Schizosaccharomyces pombe: one gene and its partner. Changing the gene in region 2 together with the main gene of any one other region gives a genetic interaction. Each region holds a gene or a part of one and is shown on either strand. Other genes may lie near its edges. The genes, in order: fus1 and exg3.

The links.
Region 1: of exg3 (region 2) and fus1, changing one enhances a phenotype caused by changing the other (phenotypic enhancement), as found in Schizosaccharomyces pombe (one study listed by BioGRID).

The regions. Positions count from the first base shown.
Region 1 is NC_003424.3:4,816,175-4,820,103, reverse strand, and holds the start of fus1 (formin Fus1), read left to right. Parts: upstream 1-2,317; 5' UTR 2,318-2,760; coding exon 2,761-3,929. Other genes in the region: eIF2 alpha kinase Hri1, read left to right, coding at 1-1,845. UniProt on the Schizosaccharomyces pombe protein: Required for cell fusion. It associates with the pre-zygotic projection tips in conjugating cells.
Region 2 is NC_003423.3:2,972,910-2,976,838, reverse strand, and holds exg3 (cell wall glucan 1,3-beta-glucosidase Exg3), read right to left. Parts: upstream 2,028-3,929; 5' UTR 2,012-2,027; coding exon 1,324-2,011; exon of another isoform or gene 1,274-1,323; coding exon 567-1,273; 3' UTR 235-566; downstream 1-234. Other genes in the region: aly2 (arrestin Aly1-like protein), read right to left, coding at 2,667-3,929.

The DNA of each region.
Region 1 (3,929 bases), on a different chromosome or scaffold from region 2:
GAGGAGCTTGAACCAATTCGTAATGCTTATGCCGATTCTCTTCATAACCTCTTATCTAAAGCTTTTCGGAGTACCTTACCCATGAGCTCTACTAAGGATTCTAAGAAATCGAGGTATTCCAGCCCTGATGGCGTTTTGGCGAAAACTGCTTCCTTCTTGAGCGTATTGAGTGATGGTGGATACGAAGACGATGTGATGAATGTCAAGCCTTCAGTAAACGTATTGTCTAATAGGTTAAATCATTTACCAGTTGAAGCATTGGAATCTTGCTTTCCACAAACCACTTTGGAGTCCTCCACGTTTGCTGATTTTTGTGAGCACAAAGATGGAACCGGTAACTTGTCTTTTAGCAACTTTGATAGCTTTCCCACAGTCCAAAGGTCAAGATATGCAAGTGATTTTGAAGAACTTGAGTTACTTGGTAAAGGCGGTTATGGTTCAGTGTATAAAGCTCGAAATAAATTCGATGGAGTTGAATATGCTTTAAAAAAAATTCCACTTCGGTTACGTTCTTTCTCCACTTCTTCTAACATATTCCGTGAATCTAGGACCTTGGCAAGATTAAACCATCCCAATGTGATAAGATTCTTTTCTAGTTGGGTCGAGCTCTTACCGTCATCTGAAAAGCAAATCGAAGAAGAACCTTTAGCTTCGGCAGATGAGACATTATCTCAATCAGCAGATATAGATAATTTTATGTTTGATATGGATACTGGGTTACTTCAGCATACTTATCCTTCATCAGTTCAGATACTATTCCAAGAGGACTCGGTTGCAGATGATTTAACTCCTTGTTACTCTACCAAAAATTCGACTTGCAACTTGACTGATCTTTTCAAGAAAGAGGCCGATCAGGATTATGCCGAGTCACATGATTGTTCTTCAACAACATCACAAGTCGACACATTAGGAAAGTTGGCGCCAACGAAGTCAGCTTCTGAAATGTTACTTATGGATTCATTTCTATCCGAAAGAGAGGAAGATGAATGTTCCAATATTCCCAGCTTTGATCAACAGCCCTTATGTTTGTACATACAAATGGCTCTTTGCGAAGAAACACTCGAGAAACACATAAACAGACGAAATAAGCATATTCACGGTGTAATGTCTAAAGGCCTACGTAACTGTTATATTTTACTGTTTGCAAGGATTTTAGAGGGCGTTTTGTATCTTCACGATGCTATGCATTTAGTCCATCGTGATTTGAAACCTCGAAATATTTTTCTATCTAGTGGTGTACATTCTGAGCCTTGCTCTGTGTGTCTACCTAATTTTTCTGATGAAGATAATGTTGAGGTTAGCAATGCGTACGAACCAGTGAACCAAAGAACTTTATGTGTTGTGCCCAAGATAGGCGATTTCGGTCTTGTTCTTTCTCAGTCAGATAATTTGGAAGAGGGGACCAACTCCTCAGCTGAATCTTCTTTTGTCGGTACAAGTACGTATGCAGCTCCTGAACTTTTCTCAAAACACATGCGATCGGTAATGAATAACAACTCGTCTACTGACATATATGCATTGGGCATACTCTTTTTTGAATTACTGTATCCTTTTAACACGCGCATGGAAAGGGCATCAGCTATCGCCAATTTAAAAAAGGGCATTTTCCCCCATGATTTCTTGGATTCCATGCCAGAGGAAGCTAGCTTAATCCGGTCAATGCTCAGCTCTTCGAATAAGCGCCCAACTGCTGCTCAACTTTTGACTAGCAATCTATTTCATGATTTGGTAGTCAATGAGCTTCATGTATATCAAGCTTTATTGGAAGATGCTGAGAAACGAAATAACAATTTGAAAGCAGAACTAAACATACTTCGAGTTTTAAACCCCAATTACGACTGTTAGTATTAGTTACGAACTACTTTGGACTGCTTCAATTGTTTTTACAATTCGCTTTTGACAAGATTTAGTTGTTTATGTTATTTTATGTTTATATTTCCTACGTTTTATGTTTATCCACTGTTATGATTTGTTTATAGTGAGTTATCTTCCATGCTCTTGGAATGGTTTTTGGAGCTTTTAGGTGCGAAAGAGTAGTCTGCATTAAAGATTTTTCTTATTTTAATATATTAAATTGAAAGTTCATCTTGTACATTTTTTCGTTGCTAGTTTTCAGTTCAACAGTCTGATTGATTTTTTTAAGTTTTCTTGATCTTGATCTTGTACTCAAAATGTTTATCCTTTTTAATCAAACTGTCTTTCATTTATGGAAAACAAATATCAATCAAGCTATAAATTAAACAGCAGAAGCGATTGTTTAATTTTAGCGTGATAGTAAACTAGCACTTCATTAGGCGCCTTATTCTAAAGACACAGTATGTACGCCACCCTCTCAATGTCTTTTAAAAAACATTTATTAATAAATATAAACTAGAATGGACACTAAACTTATTTCCAGCATTATTCAGTTAATTCTGATATGGACTACTTTCAAGTTGTCGCTTTCCAATTACGTTTGTGTTTGAGCTTGAACTTATCGGAAAACTAAATAGTTTTCGAACACAGTTAGTATTTCTTTGTTCTTTAACGGGTACAATAAAATGGATCGTTGCATATGTAATTGTTGCTTTGAATCATATTACGTCGGTTAAACCGAACAAAGAAAGTTATGTTCTAAATACTCAGTAATTTTCTAGTAAGTCTTTTACCTTACTTCTTATATCTGAACTCAAAAAGGATTGTTTACGAGCAAAAAACCTTGTTTCTGTAATTATAGGACATATTATTGATGGTTTCACCTTTTTTAGCTATTGCTTGTTAATGATGACGGCTAGTTTTAAAGGTATCAGAATCTCTAAACCAATTGTTAAAGAAATTTCATCGTTTGGGTCTCTAACAAACATTGATTTACACACTGACCCATATGAAAAAGTCGAAGCAAAAGCATTATCGCGAAGCAGATTAAAAAACCAAAGCGTAAAGAAAACAGACCTTCGTATTACAAATGATTACTCTTCACTATTTGTGAGTATTGAAAACAAAAAAAACACTATTCCGGATATTCATTGCAACAATTTATCAAAAAGACCTGTTGGATTTACCGATTCATATGTACCAGGCGAAGCGCTTCTATGTCCGGATGACCCGAATTTAGTGAATGAATTATTCGATGATGTTTTAAAAAGATTACGCGAAGAAAAATCTGATTCTGGTGAGCAGTTTCATTGGGACGCGAACGTTACACTCTCTCAAGAAAACAAATGGTCTTTCATCACTGGCTATTTATCGAGAAACGATAAATTTTTAAAAATATCATCAAACGATTCTGAACTAAATGTCAAGGCATCCGTCATTTCCTATATTGAAAAGTTAAGCTGTACACCGTTGAAGCTCAAGTACGTGGAATCTTTGGCGGTTGCATTGAGAACCGAATCAGTTACCTGGGTTCGATATTTTCTTTTGATGGGTGGACACATAGTACTTGCTAAAATATTGCAGGCAATTCATGAGAAGAAACATCTAAAAAGTCCTGACATAACTTTAGAAATTGCAATCCTCAAAAGCATGAGGTGTATTATAGGACAGAAGATTGGGACTGATTTCTATCTGAGTAATAAGTATCCTATCGATTCAGTTGTTCACTGCCTCCTGTCAACTAAATTACTAGTAAGGAAACTAGCTGCCGAATTACTTACTTTTCTTTGTTACTCAGAAAAGCCGAACGGAATCAACGCAATTATGAAATGTATGAAAAACTTTGCAAATTTGAAAGTCGAGTCTATGAACGTCTTTGATTTATGGCTTTCTCAATGGAAAAGAACACTCTTAGAGAAAGTTGTTACTGAAGAAAAGAAAGTACTAGAAGAAGCGGCCTTACATGATAAAATAACTATTGAGTATATCATTTCACAAATGCTTCTTATAAATGCATTTCTTGAAAATATCCCATCTAAAACTGCTTTACTCCAGTTCAAGGAATCCTTGAGAAT
Region 2 (3,929 bases):
AGTGTCAAAGTAAAGTTTTGCTTTGATAACGTCAATAAATACTACTCCTTGATGTTTAAATAAGATAAAAAAGGATTAATAGCAATATACGAATTTTACTGTACTACTTCCAGCTCGAGGTAGTACATGTATATATAGTTCAAGAGTGCGGTAAAAAGCGAGTGTGGGTAAAATACGTACGCACTACTACGTATCCTTTCTTTGTTTTACTATGCTAAGATTGCGTATTGTAAACAAAGGATGTAAACAAAGAAAAATGCTTGGATTCTTTATTTAAACGTTCTATTATTTCATTTCTCTATTAAAAAATTCAATAGTAAGTCGTTAATATTAATCCTTTAATTATCTTTTAGAGAATTTTATAAAAGAAAATCAACAGAATTTTTAATCTACCAAAATTAAACATATGTAACAAGGATGTGAATACAACAAGCAAAATTTAACGACAAAAAGTGGGTAAGGGAATAGAGATTAGCAGGAGGGTTACCAAACACATTAAATTTTTGTGCGGATAAACAAAAGCATAAACATAGAGTATAAAGGTCATTAAGACAGACATTATGGAATTATGGGTGACGAAAAGGATTGAGAAAGCCCATACGCTCGAGATGCAACCAGGCCGCATTCATACCGTCACGATATTCCCAAGCAGAAGCAGAAGAAATACTTGTCATCCTTTTTTGAGTCCATGCACGAGGAAATCCGATCATGGCCCCATGCTGAAGAAACTCAATGTAGTCCTCCCAGGCTTGATTCCATCCTTTAACATATAAATCATGTTCATATGGATGATCATGTTGTTTCTGATCCCAATAATAGCAATGTCCACCAAAGTTTTGATCCCGACTTTGTTCAAGTAAGGCCGGCATGGCTTTGTTTTCGGTAGGGGGAGGAGGAGGGTAATTGATTACCTTGTCCTCTACAACAGATCTAAAATCCCAATCTCCACCTTTTCCGTGAAGGAATTTATAAGTCCAAAAGAAGCATCCTCCGCAATAATTCAAATACTGGTTCAGTTGAGCTTCACCAAAGTCACGTCTTCTTTTATCGTGGAGCTTTGTTTGGCTCCATGATTCTTGGCTTAAAGTACAACTCCATTCGCCAATAACTATATTGGAAAGTTTGGTTTTACCGTATTCTTCACCAGTATCAAGTCTTCTGGTTATAAGCTTTGGGGGTGCATGGCATAATTCGCCGCCAAAACAGAAATAGCTATGATGATCAACCACATAGAATCCTTCAGATTCATGATCATTCACCCAATTCACCCAATCTGTATCCTGTTAGCATTGAAAATGATATGACTATATGGAATTGACATACGATCTTTATCCCATCCATCACCAATATAGACAGGAAGATAGGAAGGAACAACAGAGCGAGCTTTTTGATAGAAATTAGCAAGAACATCATATTGGCCCCAGATCGGTTCATTAATTACTTGAATACCAATAACATTTTCAAACTGACCAATCTTCGACGATAAAAATTTAACGGCTTCCACTGTTCTGTCTTGATATTCTTGCTTTTCATAAAATTCTGCCTTTCCAGACGATGTACCGGAATGTCCGTCACAATTTCCTCCTCCATACACCCCATGGAAGTCTAAAAGCACACCGATCGAAAGGCTTCCTGCTTCTTGAATTTTCTCACACAAGATGTGTAGGCTATTACGATATACTTCAGCATAAGGCTCAAATGGCGTTCCTTTAACCAATTCATCATTTCCTAATGACCAATATCCAAGAGGTATTCGTACACTATTAACTAAGTGCTGTTTCATATAAGAAAAATCTTCAATACCAATCCAACTTTTCCAATGCGCCTCAAAATTCTCTCTAGCTTTGTCTATTCCATGAGCCTTAACATTACCACTTACTGCTTCAAGTTCACTGCTACCTTCACCAGTAAACAAGAAATCATTAATCCATCTTTCGGCGCAAAACCAAGCACCAAGATTAACACCGTACTGCTTCCTGTATATGTATAAATCTTGTTTATTCAATCCCATCGTAATACGCTGTTCTAAAATTATGCAAGTAAGAAGAAGGTGGAAGCAGTAGTAAATAATTCGGTAACCACGTCATCTGCAGCTTCCGCCTATATAACAAAACAAGTTCCTTCGAGTCCCTTACAAAAAGTGCATGCTAAACACTTACATACGGATACATATAACCAGCAATACACTAACTATGCGCTATTATACATTTTCAATAATCAGAATTATACAAAAGTAAACAAAAAACGCTGCTTAGCTAAGTTATTATAAATGCACTCCGGTAAGAGTAGTATGAGAAATAGTAGAACTCAAAAGCTATATAGCCATTTCATTCAAAATGAAGCGCAAATCAAAAATAAAACATAAGTAAAACATAAGTAATTTCATCACAAATGCCATATTAGCGGGCTATTTTGATGATAAAAACTTGGAAATTTTTTAGTGAAAACCCAAGGCGATGATATATCTGTAAAGTTGGTACCCGATAATAAATAAATGGAATCCACAAAATATGATACCGAAACATTAAAAAATTTTTGTAAACCAAAGGCTGGCCAACCCGCACGTCTAGTTGTAAAAGCTATAGCGCTTTCGAACAGAAAATACAAAAATATCAATCTCCCCGTTAAGGGAAATCGCTTGACAATAACCGTTAACAAGCATTAGATTACCTAGGGATTTCAAAGCTTCGACTAACAGTTCGAGACAACGACCGATGAGGAGCCTCTTCTCGAATGGTACCACTCCGTCGAACACGATTGTTCAAGATAGTGTCATCGTTAGCACGATCAGTTTCGCAATCCTGAATGCTGATTGAACTCAAAACGTCAAACAACTCATCATAATTAGGAGGAGGTGTGTTACAAGCAGGGGGACAAACATCCCCATCAAAAGGAGGTGGATTTGTAGACGGAATACGGAACAACTGAGCTGGTCGCGAAATTTGGGCTGCAGCTGGTCTACCAGCAGAAGGCGCCGAACTAGCTAAAACCGATTGTGTGGTAAAAGCTGTTACTTCAGTTGGCTCGACATGAGTCGTAGCTAGTCTACATGGACACGGAAGCAAAACTTGATTGTCGCCTTGGCTTGATGATTCGTAAGGCGGAAGCAGTGTCGAATCTTTCACACAACGACATGACAAAATTCGAACAGGAGTCTCAATATTTATTTCAAAATATTTTCGCTTTTCCGGATTTTCCGTGTTTTCAATAGACAAGACTAACAATGCCTTCAGTCTGTGTCGAACTTTGATATACTTGTAAGTAGTGTCAAAGGTAAGACGATCACGCTCCTTAACCAAACACGTAGGTAAAGCAACGTTGAAGTTGAAAACAGCGCTAGAAAGACCATCTCCTTCATCAGGCGTTTCAAACAGGTTATCCGTGTTTTGATGTTTGGCAGAGCGTTCCGCAAGAAGCACACGACGTTTGGGATCAACACGATGAAATTTGCGGCTTCGGCACCAGTATTCACTTGATTCAACGACAGAAATGGATAACTTATATAAGCGAACCTTGTCGAGTAGTAAAAATCTAAAGGTAATAGGAACTACCTCACCTAAGCGAAACGACTTGCCAGAAACCTGTAATTCATAGTGAAGACGTTCATCCCAATCACGTGAGATATTAATAAGCTCAGAGGAAGAAAGACTAGCGGGAGATGGTGTGCGGACGAGTTGGACAGGGGTACGGCCATTAAGATTACTTTTAAATGTGCCAAATCTTTCTACTGTAGCTTCCAGAAAATATCGTACCCAACCCATTTTTGCTTCTACCGATTCGGGAAAACAATTGGGTATAGCTAAATCAAAATTATAAGTATATTCACCTGGAGCAAAAACACTATAACCCCTAAGACTGGCGGCAGCAGACGAAGGAAGAGGTAATTGCTCACCAACTAGACGTGCTACATCGGCACCGTGTTGAGGAGC